Arabidopsis thaliana: one gene and its partners. The protein of the gene in region 1 interacts with the protein of each later gene in a pairwise test. Each region holds a gene or a part of one and is shown in the gene's direction. Other genes may lie near its edges.

What was found.
Region 2: the proteins of CIA2 (region 1) and GLK2 interact in a two-hybrid assay, tested with the Arabidopsis thaliana proteins (one large-scale study listed by BioGRID).
Region 3: the proteins of CIA2 (region 1) and ESE3 interact in a two-hybrid assay, tested with the Arabidopsis thaliana proteins (one large-scale study listed by BioGRID).
Region 4: the proteins of CIA2 (region 1) and AT1G10610 interact in a two-hybrid assay, tested with the Arabidopsis thaliana proteins (one large-scale study listed by BioGRID).

What each region holds. Positions count from the first base shown.
Region 1 is NC_003076.8:23,165,768-23,171,529, forward strand, and holds CIA2 (chloroplast import apparatus 2), read left to right. Parts: upstream 1-2,006; 5' UTR 2,007-2,625; coding exon 2,626-3,729; coding exon of another isoform or gene 3,730-3,756; exon of another isoform or gene 3,757-4,356; coding exon 4,357-4,509; coding exon of another isoform or gene 4,510-4,527; exon of another isoform or gene 4,528-4,945; coding exon 4,946-4,996; 3' UTR 4,997-5,258; downstream 5,259-5,762. UniProt on the Arabidopsis thaliana protein: Responsible for specific up-regulation of the translocon genes TOC33 and TOC75 in leaves. Involved in the general chloroplast protein import pathway regulation, including protein import and protein translation efficiencies.
Region 2 is NC_003076.8:17,796,720-17,801,460, forward strand, and holds GLK2 (GOLDEN2-like 2), read left to right. Parts: upstream 1-1,561; 5' UTR 1,562-1,715; coding exon 1,716-2,162; intron 2,163-2,543; coding exon 2,544-2,684; intron 2,685-2,883; coding exon 2,884-3,219; intron 3,220-3,572; coding exon 3,573-3,662; coding exon of another isoform or gene 3,663-3,707; exon of another isoform or gene 3,708-3,781; coding exon 3,782-3,928; 3' UTR 3,929-4,207; downstream 4,208-4,741.
Region 3 is NC_003076.8:8,706,238-8,709,705, reverse strand, and holds ESE3 (Integrase-type DNA-binding superfamily protein), read left to right. Parts: upstream 1-1,820; 5' UTR 1,821-2,050; coding exon 2,051-2,133; intron 2,134-2,236; coding exon 2,237-2,699; 3' UTR 2,700-2,961; downstream 2,962-3,468.
Region 4 is NC_003070.9:3,504,240-3,509,563, forward strand, and holds AT1G10610 (basic helix-loop-helix (bHLH) DNA-binding superfamily protein), read left to right. Parts: upstream 1-1,946; 5' UTR 1,947-2,223; coding exon 2,224-2,333; intron 2,334-2,639; exon of another isoform or gene 2,640-2,792; coding exon 2,793-2,990; intron 2,991-3,069; coding exon 3,070-3,133; intron 3,134-3,210; coding exon 3,211-3,279; intron 3,280-3,359; coding exon 3,360-3,794; intron 3,795-3,897; coding exon 3,898-4,098; intron 4,099-4,176; coding exon 4,177-4,353; intron 4,354-4,441; coding exon 4,442-4,513; 3' UTR 4,514-4,761; downstream 4,762-5,324. Other genes in the region: AMSH2 (associated molecule with the SH3 domain of STAM 2), read left to right, coding at 187-249, 330-404, 498-560, 643-695, 777-951; PERK11 (Protein kinase superfamily protein), read right to left, coding at 4,762-5,004, 5,102-5,263.

The sequences.
Region 1 (5,762 bases):
TTTGCAGAAACGTTTGAAAGTTTAACATAAAACTAACCTTGAAAAAGTAAGTCAATGAAAGAAATAAATTTTCAATTATCATGTCTATATATATATCCAAAAAATTATCTAAAATATAGATAAGAAAGTATCAATTTATGCTAATATTTTTTTCCCAAATATGCTAAATTAGTAAATTTGAAAAAAAAAAAAAATCTTACTAATAAAGGGAAATTAGTAAAATAATAAAGTCGGTTTTTTAAGAACACGTGAAAACGTCTCCGACCAGGCGACCATAATCAGTTAATTGAGAAAGCACCACGTCATCAAAGAAATCTAGTAGAGCCAATGGGTATGTGCCACGTCAATGGATAAGGTGACCTTTCCTCGTTTTCTCTTTAAGATCCCAAAAAGATTTTGCAGATTTGGATGATGATGATGTGGTTTTTACATCTTTTTAGAAAATAATCCAAAAACAGAATCACATTTCCCTCCAGTCAAAAAGGATCATTAATGACTATTACTCACTAAACAACCTGGATTAAACTCTTGAGCATCTTTTCTTGGTTAAACTTTATTCAAGAAGAACAGAAATCGGATATCACAACCAAATCAATAAATTAAAACTGAGAAATCTTATTAAAACTATTACTATTATCAAAAATATATATCAAATTTTAAATAAAATCTTCTACAAAACCTGTAAAAAAATATAACTTCGAATTCTATTTAAAATCTAGATATCATAAACTAAAATATAAACCAATATATGGCTTCACTTCTAGCTACAATTAATCAGGGTCGGCTCAAAATAATAAAGGACCCAGAGCTGAAAAAAAAATTAGTTCTCATTTCCTATGTTTTGTTATGTAAATCTTTTTTTTGGATCGTAATTGTATTAGATTTACTTCAAAAAAAAGAGAAATTTTGGGTTGACTCTGTGCCTCGCTCCTCCGGCACATGTGTAGAGCCGGACCTGCAATTAATAGAAACAAAAATTAAACTAATATATGGTGACTCTAAATTGAAACTAAAACTAATAGTGGATAAATTTGTTTAACTCTATACTAGTTTAAAGAGCTGAAATTAAATATTGTGAATGGTAGAACTCGATTTTTGGTATCAACTAAGAAGAAAAATCCTCAACCTCAACTAATATAATACTGCCACAGGCTGGATTAGACAATTGATCGGCGCTACATCATTACTTACCACTTAATCGATGATGTGATTAATATTTTTCAATCATGAGTAATTTCGATAAATCACACTCAAAATATTTATCCCCCTTTCAAATTAATGACTGATCGCTGTTATATTACTTACTCACCACAAGATCGATATGCAAAATAATATCTTAAATTTTTGGGTAAAAATTATTGTGTAACAAGTGGATAATATCAATAAATCAATACATAAAAGATTTACTCAATTTGAATTAATGACTTACTGTCGTTATATTAATGTAATACATAAAAATTTAACTTTAAGAATGAACGATCGTCGCTACATTACATTATTACCAAATCGTCACAAAATTAATATTTTATATTTTGAGTAAATGTTAATGAACAAATAAATTTGTTAAATCAACACATAACAAATTTAATTCAATCGTATTATGACCGATCGTTGCCACAATCATATCGCTTTATTATAGGTTTAACAATTGATTTTTCATTATTTTGTTTTCAATCTCCAAATCATTTCTCAATAACTCTCAAACATTGTTTAAAGCTTTTTTTCTTAATTAACATTATAACAAAAAAATAAATAGAGAAATTTACTTTGATTCAAACACCAGTCATTGTAGATTAGCCAAGAGTTTTCAGTAACAAAATTTACCTTATAAACCTTTTGAATGGCTATTTCTGAAATGGAATAGAAATCTTTAGTCGTGGAAGTATCTCTATCCATAAGAAAACTCGTTTTACAAAGTAATTTTAAATCAATACAAAAAGTGAAAAAATCCACTGGTGGACCCCATTCATTCCAGAATTGCCGATTACGAGCTATCTTGTCCCTTCTTCACCATTCGCTCACTCTCTCTCTCTCTCTCTCGTCTTCTTCTTCCCACCACTCTCTCTGTTTCTCCACAACTTCTCTTCTCAAAGTTAAAATTACCCCTAAACCAAAAAAAAAAAAAACGCTCTTCACTATTTATTTACTAAACTCTCCTTTGTTTGTTACTAAGCTCTCACTAAAACCCTAATCTTTCTCCTCTTATATATCTCGTGACTCTTCTTTCTCCTCCAATCTCTCTCTCCCTCTTCACAAACCAATTAGCTTCTTTCTGTAAAACCTCACTCGTTGGCCAATTCTTTTGGTTTTCATACACATAAATCTCAGATTCCAAATGGGTTTTCTTAGCTCTTTCTTTCAAATGATGAACATTTGTTAGCAGAATCTTCCTCTTTCCCTAAAGTTTTGATCTTTTTTTCCCCCTTCAATTTTGTATTTTCTCACCAAATAAAAAAAGGTTTCTTCAGTGGGTTTTAAGGGTTTATTATTATCTTAAAATTAAACACAATTCTTTAATCAAAAGGCAAAAATCTTAATTTCATCACTCTCTTCTCACTCACAAAAGTTCTTACAATCTTCAAAGTTTTGGTCTTGTTTCTTTTCCGATTTCACCGGACAAAAAAAATGTCGGCGTGTTTAAGCAGCGGAGGAGGAGGAGCAGCAGCATATAGTTTCGAGTTAGAAAAAGTGAAATCACCACCACCATCATCCTCAACAACAACAACAAGAGCTACTTCACCATCATCAACAATCTCCGAATCATCAAATTCACCACTCGCAATCTCAACGAGAAAGCCAAGAACACAACGCAAAAGACCAAACCAGACTTACAACGAAGCAGCTACTCTTCTCTCTACTGCTTATCCCAACATCTTCTCCTCAAACTTGTCCTCTAAGCAAAAAACTCACTCTTCATCAAACTCTCACTTCTACGGGCCATTGCTTAGTGACAACGACGACGCTTCTGATTTGCTTCTTCCTTATGAATCAATCGAAGAACCTGATTTTCTGTTTCATCCAACGATTCAAACGAAAACAGAGTTTTTCTCAGACCAGAAGGAAGTTAACTCCGGTGGAGATTGCTACGGTGGTGAAATCGAAAAGTTTGATTTCTCCGACGAATTCGATGCTGAATCGATTCTCGATGAGGATATTGAAGAAGGAATCGATAGTATAATGGGGACTGTGGTGGAATCGAATTCAAATTCGGGGATTTATGAATCTAGGGTTCCGGGAATGATCAATCGCGGTGGAAGAAGTTCTTCTAATCGGATTGGTAAACTAGAACAGATGATGATGATCAATTCATGGAATCGAAGCTCTAACGGATTCAATTTCCCGTTAGGGCTTGGATTACGAAGTGCTCTCAGAGAAAACGACGACACAAAATTGTGGAAGATTCATACCGTTGATTTCGAACAGATCTCGCCGCGAATTCAAACTGTCAAAACCGAAACTGCAATCTCCACCGTTGATGAGGAGAAATCCGACGGTAAGAAGGTGGTAATCTCTGGAGAGAAGAGTAATAAGAAGAAGAAGAAGAAGAAAATGACGGTGACGACGACATTGATTACGGAATCGAAAAGCTTGGAAGATACGGAGGAGACGAGTTTGAAGAGAACAGGTCCGTTGTTGAAGCTTGATTACGACGGCGTTTTGGAAGCTTGGTCTGATAAAACGTCGCCGTTTCCCGACGAGATTCAGGGATCGGAAGCTGTCGATGTCAATGTATGTTTAACACTAATCTCTTCTTAATCTCAAATCCCTCGCCGTTAAAATTCGATATTTTCTATGTTTATTTTTCTTTAGTTAATGGTTAGTTTGAAATAATTAATTATTCGGGATTCTGTTTTGGCCATTAGTATTCTGCCACGTGGCTGTTGAGGAGTGTGTTCTCATTAATGCTGAATTAGTAATTTATTAGCTATGATATAGTTTGAAGTATCTGACAAGAATTTATTAAATTTTGTGGAAAGTTCTTATTAATAATTTTTCCTGTAACGTATTTTGAAGAATAATTATTAACCCTTTGACTTTGGTACATAGTCTTCTTTTTATTATAAATAACATTTTTTTCTGTGATGACTTTCAATCAATTAAGAAAAAAAAAAGCTGCTTTTTATTTGTCCAATGAAAACTTTATAGACTGTGCACGTGAATTTTCACGTATAGGATAAATGAGGAGGTTCAAAATTTATTTTGTAGATATCCGTTTCGTCGAATACTCCTTTTAGCATAAAGTCTAGTAGTCTACAAAATAAGTTAACTAGAAATTCATTTTTGTCAATTGATTAGTATTTTGTGTTATTAATAATGTTGAACATGAACTAATGTGGCGTGTGTGTTTTGGGGCAGGCTAGATTAGCTCAGATTGATTTGTTCGGAGACAGTGGAATGCGAGAAGCAAGTGTTTTGAGGTACAAAGAGAAACGTCGAACTCGTCTTTTTTCGAAGAAAATTCGATACCAAGTTCGCAAACTCAATGCTGATCAACGTCCTCGAATGAAGGTATCTAACCCATCTTAGTCAGTGGTTAAAAACATGTAGGTTTTTTTTACCATCCTTCAAAATTTGTTTTGAATCAGCATAATAAGACTAGCTTTAGTTTTCAGATTTAAAGTAGATGAGAAAACTCTTGTTGAGTTTTTCTATTCGTTTTTTTTCTTCAAGAAGATGAAATAAGCTTTCTTTTGGGTATCTTTATTCCAAATGAACCAAACCGAACAAGTAAAGGAAACTACGTACCACAAGCCAAACAAAAAGATTTAAAACCAAACCAAAGGTTAAATATATTAAGAATTGTCATCTAAAGGAAACAAAACTAACTAATAACGTTAGATTGAGGTCAAGGGCTAGGGATATATACATTAGATTTGATTAAGACAAGAACCTAATATTAATGTTTTCTTTTCTTTTTGTGGTTGGTGATGGGATGTGGGAACAGGGACGATTCGTGAGAAGGCCCAATGAGAGCACTCCAAGTGGACAAAGATAACAAGGATAAAAGAGCCTAGATTTATCTTATCTTTTTTTTTTTATCTTTTGTTTATTCCTTGTTTTATTTTTGTTTCTAAAATTTTGGCACCCTCCTTTTTTGTTTCTTTTAAGTTATGGTCCCTTTTGGTTTATAATTTAGATTTTTTGATGAGGGGGAGATTTGATTGAGAAAGTGAGGGATCAAAACTAATAAAAGTTTTTGTTATTAATAGAAGAAACAGAGCTCTTGAGATTTTAATGACTCAAGAAGCAAGTCAGAGACTTGGCTCAACAACAACAGTAGCAAAAAACAAGACATGGATTATTCACCAATCCCAATGGCTCAAACTATGTTGCAGCCTTGTACACCTGTTGTTTCGTTGCCCATTGCTTCTTTGAGTCATCAAAACCGGTGACAAATCATTGATACCTCTCAATATCTGTTTTTGCCGAGCCAAATTTCCTTTCCCAATAAAAACATTATAGAGAAAAAGCATATTGAATTAAGGGCAAAAATAGCTTCTAGGACGTGTTATATGATTTTTGAATGGTAGCTTCTTCTAGATACCATTTTATCTTTGACCAAGAATCGAGTGTTATTTTACAAGGCTTGACGGAATGGCAAAAACAGAACTCTCTGCACAAGGAATGTGTTGAGCTCATTACTTGTATACATGATACAAGAGATATCGTTTGGTTTATATACAGAGTTATTATGCACGAAACAAGAGGAAAATCAAATCAAACCAAATTGGTCTCTGGTAATCAGTTCAGTGGCAAAGATT
Region 2 (4,741 bases), 5.4 Mb from region 1:
CTATGTAATTACTTACAAAAATTAAGGTTACATTTAAAATGTACTTCCCAAATAATATAGTAGGATAAATTGTTTTATCTATGATTTATGAATATCCACATCAGTTCTGTAAAAAATAAAACTAAAAGAAAAACCAAGGAGAAAACAAATCGCCTTGTAAAAAACCGTTTTTGATAAATGTAACATTTAGGTTTTGTGTTAGTTAAGATCCGAAACAAGACAAATCTTATACACGCCATAATCCAGTATGTCGAAATCTACACCGTATTAATTATTGCTACTATGAACAACCATTCTATCCGATCATAGACTTTACTCTTATTTGTCGTTATTATCATAAAATGTCGTTTAAATAAATTATTTGTAGGATACCAATTCTTTAATTATATTAGTTCAAACACGTATAATTTTGGTGGTTTTTGAGGATGAATATCATCAAAGATAAATGCATTTTGGTGAAATAAATAATCAAATAATTATTTTAAATTATCTTTATGCACCACTATTTTTAATAAATTGGACTCTTACAACGTTTTCCTTAAAAAAAATCATGGATCTTAAAACTTATACCCAAACAAATATGTAGAAAATTATTATTATATATATAAATATATATATATATATATAAGCTATACAAAATCTTATTATATAGTAGTAGCGCTTGATTCTAAAATAGCATAATTAGACGAAAAAGCATGCATTTTGTAACATTTTATACTTTGTAAGTAAAACACATAAAAAATAATTTTATGAATAAGAAATCCACATAAAAAAAAAAAGAAGTAACATACTGTGAAAAATTAGGAAACTTTTTGAGGCACCAATTTTTTATGCCACTTTCAAAAAAGCATTAATGAAAATTTGTTTAAAATATCATTTTAAAATTTGACGTACAAAAGTACAAAACCTCATACAATTTCAAAACTTTACAAAGACTCAATAACATGTGTTATAGAGACTTTATAAACTTTCTTATAACATACTCTATAATTTTTTATATCCATATATTTGTGATATTTTTGAAAATGGATAAAATAAATTTGATATTTTTATAAATAGAAAATATTAATGGTATTTTTGAATTTTTCCCAAAATAATTATTAGTCTTATACTCCAAAATGTAAAAAAAAATCACTTTTTATTAAAAAAATACTTACGCATTTGCTTAATTGCTAGTCGTCAAAGTTTTGTCATTTTATGCAAATACTAAAAAAATGTAGAAAGCATTTCCTCTTTATTTTTGGGACAACCAAGAAAGGAGCATTTCAATAGTGTATACATAGACAAAAATATTTCTCATTTCCTATATTTGACTCTTTAAATCTTTAATAGCTCTTGTAATTTTTTCCATTCATTGTAATACAGCCATAATGTTTAAAAGGAAACTGTCAATTATAAACTTATACTAGAATATAAAATATGGTATTGAATTGAATATTTTCAAAAATAAAATATTAAATTTACGAAAAGAATAAAAAAACTTAAAAATCTCTCTCTCCTATCTCTCAACCACAACTTATTTTTCATGTCAGTATCCACCAACACATATATACGGCATATAAAAGATTTTAATAAAACCTTGGAACTATCTATATCTATTCAGACACACACGTCTATATATATATATACACTCATATACTACTTTCACTGTATCATTCTTGTTTTCTCTAAATTTTTCAAAAAACCTTTAGAATTTTCATTTTTTTACGATTCCGATGTTAACTGTTTCTCCGGCTCCAGTACTCATCGGAAACAACTCAAAGGATACTTACATGGCGGCAGATTTCGCAGATTTTACGACGGAAGACTTGCCGGACTTTACGACGGTCGGGGATTTTTCCGATGATCTTCTTGATGGAATCGATTACTACGACGATCTTTTCATTGGTTTCGATGGAGACGATGTTTTGCCGGATTTGGAGATAGATTCGGAGATTCTTGGGGAATATTCCGGTAGCGGAAGAGATGAGGAACAAGAAATGGAGGGTAACACTTCGACGGCATCGGAGACATCGGAGAGAGACGTTGGTGTGTGTAAGCAAGAGGGTGGTGGTGGTGGTGACGGTGGTTTTAGGGACAAAACGGTGCGTCGAGGCAAACGTAAAGGGAAGAAAAGTAAAGATTGTTTATCCGATGAGAACGATATTAAGAAAAAACCTAAGGTGTGTTTATTTCCCAATTATCCATGTTAGATTAGTTTATTTTTTTTCTTCTTTAAAGGTAAAAAATCCCATTAAGAAATCACCAACCTTTTTAAGGATTTCATTAAAAAAACATAAACTTCTAGTGTTTCTGAATATTTTTTTTACAAAGTTAGTGAATTAGTGTATTTATCATATACACAATTATTATTAAGTTTGATAACTGGAGTAGATCTAGGACCAAAACCAAGTTTTGTGTAGTAGGACTATACAAATTTGTGTGTTTATTTGGACTAAATATTTTTTTTTATAAAACTGTAAGACAATTTTCTATAAAAAAAATGAATTCCTTTTTTTTCTTTTCATTTATTGATTAATTAATATATTGTTCCGGCAAATCAGGTGGATTGGACGCCGGAGTTACACCGGAAATTTGTACAAGCGGTGGAGCAATTAGGGGTAGACAAGGCGGTGCCGTCTCGAATCTTGGAAATTATGAACGTTAAATCTCTCACTCGTCACAACGTTGCTAGCCATCTTCAGGTAAATTTTAGACTAAAACTATACAAACTAATTTTAACAGGAATTAATCAAGTGCTATAACCCCTAACATAGTAATTACCTAATTTATAGATTACATGTTTTTCCTTCAAAATTTTTTATGAAAAGACAAGTAAAATACTAACCAACTCAGATTTGTGTAATAAGATTAATTTGTGTTGTGTTCTTCTTGTAATGATAGAAATATAGGTCACATCGGAAACATCTACTAGCGCGTGAAGCAGAAGCTGCCAGCTGGAATCTCCGGAGACATGCCACGGTGGCAGTGCCCGGAGTAGGAGGAGGAGGGAAGAAGCCGTGGACAGCTCCTGCCTTAGGCTATCCTCCACACGTGGCACCAATGCATCATGGTCACTTCAGGCCTTTGCACGTATGGGGTCATCCTACGTGGCCAAAACACAAGCCTAATACTCCGGCGTCTGCTCATCGGACGTATCCAATGCCGGCCATTGCGGCGGCTCCGGCATCTTGGCCAGGTCATCCACCGTACTGGCATCAGCAACCACTCTATCCACAGGTAATAATAATTCATTTGTAAAAATGTTACATGTTTTTCCATTATTAGTTGTATGGTTAAATCATGAAAAATAATCGAAATGACATAACTAAATCAGCTTTGTTGAACAATCATGACACTGCAAAAAGCTAGTCTTTGTACACTATTGGCTTTTTAACACATGCAACATATATAAGTATAAAACGGAATCATTGAATTAGATTGTGGTTTTGTCTAACAACGCAATTAGTAAAAGATTGCAAGATCATGAATCATTTTTATGTAGACAACTAATAAAGATTTAGAGCTATGAATTATGTATGGATTTTACAAAAACATATTTCTAATCATGGTTTATGTGTATATATGTGTAGGGATATGGTATGGCATCATCGAATCATTCAAGCATCGGTGTTCCCACAAGACAATTAGGACCCACTAATCCTCCCATCGACATTCATCCCGTGAGTGCACCTTTTTTGGTTTCAATTTTGTTTATTAGATTTTGATTATGACATAACCCAAAAAAGTTTTCGAATAAATTTTGGATAATTAACAATATTTCATTACTTGACGGTTGCAGTCGAATGAGAGCATAGATGCAGCTATTGGGGACGTTATATCAAAGCCGTGGCTGCCGCTTCCTTTGGGACTGAAACCGCCGTCGGTTGACGGTGTTATGACGGAGTTACAACGTCAAGGAGTTTCTAATGTTCCTCCTCTTCCTTGAGAAAGATCTCCAAAATTTGTCGAAATCTCAAACTTTTAACTTCATTTTTTTGGTATCTTCTATGTATTTTTGCAAGGGAAAGACGATAAATCCTTGTTGCTTGATCATATGTATTTCTCTATATGAGTGCATGTATCGAAGTTAAGCAACTTTAATATATCGTTATAATCTTCGATAGCAGAATCTGTAATTTTTATTAACTTTCAACTCCCGAAGCATCATTGCAAAATGACTAAATGCAACACTTTTTGGGGTTAAAAATGCTTAACATTTTAAAACATTACTATCATTTATTCAATCAACAATTTATAGTTTTATACAATTGAAAACTAGACGGGATATATATCGCATGTGTTTTTTCAATGGCTTATTTTGTTTTATAATGCCAACTTTCACAGCTATGGATTGTGACTATTTATAATTTCAAAGAAGTCAAATATTTTTAAAACTCAATTAAAGTCCATAAAAAAATTTGCAATTGATAATGTTAACATATCGTGGCAAAAAAAAAAAAAAAGTACAACACATAATTGGAGTTTAGATATACGAATATTCTTTTAATTGGTTCCATGTAAAAAACTTAATTCAAACGGATTCGATTGGTGACACAAAATGGTAAAAACAAAAAAGCGGAAAAAGTTTTAAAAATACTAGAATAGTTGAAAGAAGTAAAAAAAATACAGGTACAAAAAATACAATAGTACAAAAAAATACTAGAATAGTTGTAGATATACTTTTGTGTTTAGTAAACTATTAAAGCATTAAATATTGTACCATGCGATAGAGATTACCAATCAAAAGCCAAAGTGATGA
Region 3 (3,468 bases), about 14 Mb from region 1:
TAAGTAAAAGCGAATATGTTAGACATATCAAAATTATTTTTGTTTAATTAAAATTACAGTTGTAGTAATGTTGTTATTTCAAAGGTACATATATATTTCCATTATGTAACTTGCTGATATTAGCATTCAGTACCATCCTTCTTTTACTACACCACCGAGAGAGATAAGTTACTTTCTTTTTTTTCGTTTTCTTATGGACATGGATGCAAATATACAGACAAAAAAAAGCATATGTTGAATAATTATTAGGGTTAAGAATGATTATTAGTAGGGTGAAAATGATCAATTATTTGATAAAAAGTTAATGACCTTCTCTAGTTGTTTTTCTTGTCGTCATAATTGCGGTCTAGGATTCTTTCATCAATTTGATACTGGATTGAACTAATAATATTTGGCACTTGTTATTTTGATGTATCCATTCTACCTACACACTCTTTTGCCCAACATATTCTTCTATTACCTCTTATTCCAATTATAATTGACTCTAAAAGGATATAGTCTCAATTGGAGATTATTTTTTTTTTAAATATGCGTGCGACTGAATATGATCGACATAACCTTTACTTTTATTTGATGAAACTTTGTCGAACAAAAGATAAATTGGCAAACAAAAACATCCATATATAAACCCAAATAAGAAGTGGTTACTATGTGACATTCCCTATACAATTAACATATACTACTATCTAAAAATTGTAGATAAGTTTATGCAATATTATACTAATTCCCTCTCCAAGTTTCAGTAATGGGCATAATCACATATTTATTAATTATTAAACCTATGTTTTTAATTGAAAAATAATGTATTAGAGTTTTTTTTTTAATAGGTCGCAGACTCGTAGGTAAACTGTACACTCAGAAATCATGGGTATGATGACAATACATTAAGGTTTGTTTCAATAATAACAATACAAAATAATATTAAAGAAGGGAAAAGAGAAGATGATAATCGAAGATGGTTTTGGGTGTTTGATTGAGTCATTATCAAAGGCTCACATGGGTGAAGAATGGTGATGAAAGAGTCTCGCTAGTTATCAAACTATATATTTTCCAATTATTTATCGTTATTATTAATTAGTTGGGGAAAAATTTGGCAGTATCTATGATATAGAGACATGTTGTGATGATCAAACCCATGTGAAAATAGGTACAGTGGGTTTGAAGTTTCACCGCAGCCAAATCTCTTTGGATCCAACTTGTTCACAATGGGAAAATTAAAATAATTGATAAATATATATGCTATATACGTAGGGTTGTTATTATATTTAGAGCTATTTATTAGTTTTATCTTAAAAATACCCCATAACTTAGGATATTATAACTATAATTGTCTAAGTATAATATGTGTAACTTGGGACAAAAGGAAAAGAAAAAGGTTTGGATTAAATTATCTTAGGTTTGATTTCTAAACCGTTTTAATTAATTTATATTTGTTGATAAAAAATTAGCTTTTGTTACAGAAATAAATTCATATGAAACTATTGAACATTTGTAATTTTGTATTCTAACAAAAACTGTGATAAGTTTGTTAATTCATAATTTAAATTCTATTTTAACTTTTAGATAAATTACGATAATACTTTCCAAAAAATATCTCTAAATAAAAAAAACACTTTTCCGACAGTTTAGCATGTAGTTTCGAAGCTTTCAATTTTCACTATAATATGTGACAGAATTAGATAATCCATTTGCCCATGTCGCAGCAACTTCGAATACAACAAATGAAGTAAATTTAAGAATACTTTAAGTTAAATAAATTAATATAACTCTCTCTCTCACATCAAACAAAATCCATGAGATTTTCTGAGTCGTATTGGTAATGGTGTGGGTCCAATTTAGGACCAAATTGATTGCCAGTTTATTGCCAAAGAAAATTTTAACACAAAAACATTTCTCTCTCTCATGAAGCTAAAGCCAACACTACTTATATAGCTACCCTTCACTCTTCCAAAAACGCTCCTTCACTCTCATCATTCTTTCTTCTTTCAAAACATTTCCACAAACACACCAAACTCACCTGAAACCCTATTTCCATTTACCATTCACACTAATGGCACGACCACAACAACGCTTTCGAGGCGTTAGACAGAGGCATTGGGGCTCTTGGGTCTCCGAAATTCGTCACCCTCTCTTGTAAAAACTCTCCCTCATCATCCTCTCAAATTACGAAATTACCCTCGGTCGCTTTTTATTTGAGTAATGCTAAACTTTTTTGTTTTTTTTTTGTTTTTTTTAGGAAAACAAGAATCTGGCTAGGGACGTTTGAGACAGCGGAGGATGCAGCAAGGGCCTACGACGAGGCGGCTAGGCTAATGTGTGGCCCGAGAGCTCGTACTAATTTCCCATACAACCCTAATGCCATTCCTACTTCCTCTTCCAAGCTTCTATCAGCAACTCTTACCGCTAAACTCCACAAATGCTACATGGCTTCTCTTCAAATGACCAAGCAAACGCAAACACAAACGCAAACGCAGACCGCAAGATCACAATCCGCGGACAGTGACGGTGTGACGGCTAACGAAAGTCATTTGAACAGAGGAGTAACGGAGACGACAGAGATCAAGTGGGAAGATGGAAATGCGAATATGCAACAGAATTTTAGGCCATTGGAGGAAGATCATATCGAGCAAATGATTGAGGAGCTGCTTCACTACGGTTCCATTGAGCTTTGCTCTGTTTTACCAACTCAGACGCTGTGAGAAATGGCCTTGTCGTTTTAGCGTATTCTTTTCATTTTTATTTTTGTTTCCACAAAAACGGCGTCGTAAGTGATGAGAGTAGTAGTGAGAGAAGGCTAATTTCAAGACATTTTGATCTGAATTGGCCTCTTTTGAAACACTGATTCTAGTTTCTATAAGAGCAATCGATCATATGCTATGTTATGTATAGTATTATAAAAAAATGTTATTTTCTGATTTTTCTCCATGTAAACCAATTGAACACTTGAAACCAAAAACTAAAAATTACACATGTGTTCGTGTGTGAAAAAGTGGGAATTTAATGTAGTGAAAAGATACAACAATGAGAAGAAAGATATCTAAAGTAGTGAAGAGAGATGAGAGTTTGAATATTTTGAGTTAGCTTTTGGTTTTGTTCCATGCATGTTCTAATTTTTCAACGGTGGGCCTTCATTTTTTTATTTTTATTTTTGGTAATTTGGGATTGCTGCTAAGTAGAAAAAGAGTGTCCCTAGCTGTGGCTTGACGACCATAAAATCCAACTTTTTAATTAGAGGGATTTGTGTTTTCTAGCACCTTATATTAAAATAGAAAAAATAATTTAGCTACATAAAATAGGTGTTTGACTGCAATTACTCTGTTTCCTTAGAACACTCTGTTCTTCGAACAGTCCAAACCTATTATTTATTTGTTTTGTTTGTAATGCGAATAAAAGGAAACTAGTGTTTTCCGACCACTACTTTAACTTTTGTAACAAAATATGATTTACATTTACTACCTTAAGGTTGAA
Region 4 (5,324 bases), on another chromosome or scaffold:
AACAGAGATCTTTGCAAATTTGAATTTTTAGTGAAACTCGATCTATGCTATTGTTTAAAGTTTACACCTTGTTTTGACTTTTGTGGTCATGATTCATGGTTGTTTTGCTTCTGTTCCAGGGTTCTTCGTTTTTCGAGTTTCATGAACCTGATGGTAATTACATTTCTATTTCTGTTCATGCTGTAGGAAAGAGGAATTTTTTATGTAACCACTCTGATAATACCTAAGCAAGAATCAACTTCTAATTCTGTGAGTTATCTTAGAAAGATTATCTCGATCATTTTGTGGTATTCAAAATGAGGTGCTTACTCAGGTGCTAAAATTGGCAGTGTCAGGCTATGAATGAAGTGGAAGTGTTTTCCATTCAAAACGAAAGAGAACTCTATCCCGTAGGATGGATTCATGTATATCTCTCTCTTCTAGCTCCCTCCATGTTTAGTGATCTGTTTATCTACTTTGTCTTGACTTACTATAACGAGGTTATGCATATTTTCCAGACTCATCCTTCTCAGGGTTGTTTCATGTCATCTGTAGATCTGCATACACATTATTCGTATCAGGTACATCTCTGCTGTTTCCAAATTGCATATATACTAGGTTTGAGACAATTCTGATCTCAGTTTCCCATCATGTCATTCTTAGGTAATGGTGCCAGAGGCTTTTGCAATCGTCGTAGCTCCAACTGATAGCTCTAAGTATGTTCTTCCAAAGCTATGGAGTCAATTATACAGTCAACATATTTCCTTGATAGACTCTCAAACTGATCTTTTTGGCAGGAGTTACGGGATATTTAAGCTAACGGACCCTGGAGGAATGGAGGTACTGAGAGGCTGCTCAGAGACTGGATTCCACCCGCACAAAGAACCAGAAGATGGGAACCCAGTTTATGAGCATTGCTCAAACGTCTACAAGAACTCGAACCTTAGGTTCGAGATTTTTGATCTACGTTAAGGTAACGACTTCTGTGGACTTATCAGTAAAAAGGTTCAAACTTTATCCACTGTGGGCTAAGGATGTCAATAATAACCGTCATCATAACCACCACCCTAACCAGAACTGTATACTTGGTCTGAGAAGGCTGTCTGATTCGGGTTATGAACACAAGGTACCTTCTATTAAGCTTAGCAATGTTAATAAATTGTCATGTCCTTAGATTTGGATCAATTGGTTCCATTATGGAAGAACAACAATGACCATAGACATAAGACATTGTATTGGCGTATGCAATTGTTATATATCTGTACAAATGTATACATTGGCATCTATTTCTCCATATAACACTACATTAATATTATCACCATATTTCGCCATTTTATACCTCTTAACTTGCCAGTGATGACTGATGAAAATGGTTGAGCTTTTAAAAAGGACGGGAAAATTTTAAACTTGAGCTTTGACTTGTTAAAAAATTATTCATTTTGACAGTTTTCGTCTGATTCAAGTTTCATTCTTTTCATTTCTCATTTGATTGATTAATTAGATACAAAATAGCCATAAATTAGCTGTAATAATAATTTAAAAGGTATCTTTGAGCTCTTTTTTGGTAAAGACATATTCCAAATACCTCTCTTCACATGAAACAAGAGTACAAACCCCAAAAACAGAACCAAAGGTCCAAACTTTTCTTTTGAAAGTAATAAAGCTATCAAAGCTCTTTCCTTGTTAAAGTAAATAGTACAGAGGATGGGTTTTATCAGAAAAAAAAAAGCTAGCTCATTTCATATTGTTGAGTGTTGCTATCAAAACCCATACAGATACAGTACTTTGTTTTGCTTCAAATCCCTTTATGGCCGTTTTCAAGCACATGATAGCTTTCTTCGTACAGTCAAGAGTAAAACCTCTCTTTTTCTTACCCTATCTTCTCTCTCTACAGATGTCACAGTCACCTCTGTCACGGATTTGGGTACAGAGACTCGCAGACGATTCACTCTTCTTTCTTTCTCTCTCTCTGGGTTTTAATTCAAAAAGTGAAGTTGGTTACCATTGTCTTGTACGATCGTATATTCCCGATATGATTTGTTTTGACAGAGCAACTGCTTTGTATATATATGCCAAATATCTCTCTCTCTCTCCCTCTCTCCTTGCATCAATTTATAAGTAAGACCAAAAGAGATCACCAAAACTCAGGCTTCTTGTTTGGCTTTTCTTATTGTTGATTGAGAGAGTGAGAGTAAGAGAGAGAGAGAGAGAGAGAGAGTGAGAGAGAGAGAGAGAGAGAGTGAGATGATGATGATGAGAGGTGGTGAGAGAGTGAAGGAGTTTCTTCGACCCTTTGTCGATTCCAGAACTTGGGACTTATGTGTTATCTGGAAACTCGGTGATGATCCTTCTAGGTTCAACACACTCTCCGGTTTTTCTTTGTTATTTGTTCGTTGTTCATGTGAATCATCATCAGCTGTCTACTATTTTGTTTCAGTAGCAAAGCTTCCGTTTTTATGTATACTGATGGGTTTTTCGTGTTTGTCTTTTATCTTTGCTTTCTGAATTAGGACTTTTTTTTTTGTTTTTGCTCTGTTATTGGCTTCCTGAAACTATTTTGTTTCAGTAGCAAAGTTTCCATTTTTTTGATTTTGATTAGTCCTTAGTAACTTCTGGCTCTGTTCTATCAAATTTCTCTGGTTTCTGTTTTTTTTTTTTTTTGCTCATCTGGTTTTTGATTTTAATGGTTTATGGTTTGTTTTGCTTTACCATCTACCTCCTGTTCTTGGTTTTGTCTTGTCTAGTTTTACTAAAAGTTTGTGGGTTTTATGATCTTCATCTCGTAATTGGTATGAATTCCATTTAAACTACAGGTTTATTGAATGGGTGGGATGCTGCTGCAGTGGTTGTTATATTGATAAGAATATAAAGCTTGAAAACTCAGAAGAAGGAGGAACTGGGAGAAAAAAGAAGGCTTCTTTCTGTAGAGATGACCACAACAAGCATCGTATAAGAACCTTAGCTTGTGAAGCGCTTTCTCGTTTTCCTCTCTTCATGCCTCTCTATCCCGGGTATGTTTCCATCTATTCAACCCCCTTTCAAGTTAATTTTTTCTTCAAGAATAATATGAAGCTTCTTTCTCAATTGCAGGATTCATGGAGAAGTAGTGATGTCAAAATCTCCAAAGTGGTTGGTTAATTCAGGATCTAAAATGGTAAAAAAGACTCTTTTCGTCAGCCTTTTTTACTCGTTTGATCATAAGAACAATCTGATCTCCATGTGTTTTGGCAGGAAATGTTCAGCACTCGTGTTCTTGTTCCTGTGAGTGATGGTCTCGTTGAGCTGTTCGCTTTCGATATGGTAAAAACATGTTAGCATTTCGCATAGAAAGTCTGTCATTGGTTTTGGTGGTTACTTCATAAAATGTTGGTCTGTATCAGAGACCGTTTGATGAAAGCATGGTGCATTTGATCATGTCGCGTTGTACCACCTTCTTTGAACCATTCCCTGAACAAAGGCTGCAGTTCAGGATCATTCCCCGAGCAGAGGAATCTATGAGTAGCGGTGTGAATCTCAGCGTTGAGGGCGGCGGATCATCAAGTGTTTCCAATCCCTCCAGTGAAACTCAGAATCTTTTCGGCAATTACCCGAATGCTAGTTGTGTGGAAATTCTCAGGGAGGAACAAACACCGTGTTTGATAATGAACAAGGAAAAGGATGTTGTGGTGCAAAATGCCAACGATTCCAAAGCTAATAAGAAGCTGCTTCCTACGGAAAACTTCAAATCAAAGAACCTTCATTCAGAGAGGAAAAGAAGAGAGAGAATTAATCAGGCCATGTATGGTCTAAGAGCCGTAGTCCCTAAAATCACAAAGGTTTCTTCTGAAACTCAATGCAGTTTCTGGATCACTCTTCTTGTGGTCAATGTAGCACTTTCCATAGGATTATTATATTTATCTTTCTTTGTGCTATATGCAGTTGAACAAAATTGGAATTTTCAGTGATGCTGTTGATTACATCAATGAACTGCTAGTGGAGAAGCAGAAACTTGAAGATGAGCTTAAAGGAATCAATGAGATGGAATGCAAAGAAATCGCTGCAGAGGAACAATCTGCAATAGCTGATCCAGAAGCTGAAAGAGTTTCCTCTAAAAGCAACAAGAGAGTGAAGAAAAACGAGGTATTATTCGAATATATAGACCTTCAAGATAATCTATATCTGAGTTGTAAAATCCCACAAACTCTGGTTTCTTTTCAGGTGAAAATTGAAGTCCACGAGACTGGTGAGCGAGATTTCTTGATTCGGGTTGTGCAGGAACATAAACAAGATGGATTCAAGAGGTTGATAGAAGCTGTAGATTTATGTGAACTTGAGATCATTGACGTCAATTTCACCAGACTCGATCTCACAGTCATGACCGTTCTCAATGTCAAGGTAGTAACGTAATCACATCTCATTGCCCCTGCACGTAATCTCAGATTCTTGAATTCTGATAAACAGTTTTGGATTTATTCATTCTTAGGCGAACAAAGACGGGATTGCATGTGGAATATTGAGAGATTTACTGCTCAAGATGATGATAACTTCAATATGAAAACTCAGTAAAACAGAGTACATAACCTCAAAAGGTCAAATGTTTTGTTTGCTTCAGTCACAAGTTACTGCTAGAGATATGATTTCTCACAAGCTTTTAGGTGACAGTTTACATGTTTGAAACTATACATTCTTCTGGTTTGTCATTGGGTTTTCATTAAGATCTTTCACAAATATAATTCTAAAGGGTCGTCGTCCCTAAGAACTAAGAAAAACAAAACACAACAACTTGAGTTTAATTTATTGGTTTCAATGGTTCCGGTGACTTGTGTTGAAGGCTCGGCTCTCAGATTCATATTCATGGCTAGTGGCGTAGTCTTGGCTAGGGTAGTAGCCAGTATTAGTACCAAGATCCGAGGAATCTTCAGAGGCTCGTCTGAAAATTCGAATCTCATTACTGTATTGACCGGAGTCGTAGACCCTACTTTGACCCACTTTAACTCCGTTTGTCAGATCCGACAAGTCATCTCTCGTGTCCAGAGCTCTAACAACCTGCAAAAAGAGAAACACTCTTGATCAATCAGATGGTTTGTTTCTTTTTCTAGCTGTATATTATTAGGTCAAGTCAAGAAGTGTTTCTATTTCTGACCTGAACCATACGAGGTCGTTTTAAAGCGGAATGTCTAACACAAGACGCTGCCGTTTCAATCATTTTATAGACTTCACTTTCGACGTAATCATTCTCTAGCCGTGGATCCACTACTTCGCTGATGTCACCTTTTTCAATGGCCTCGATTAGCCTTGGACGTGCCTGCCAAAAAACCAACAAATATTCAACCCTCATGAGATTTTTTCATTTATATTGAAAACAC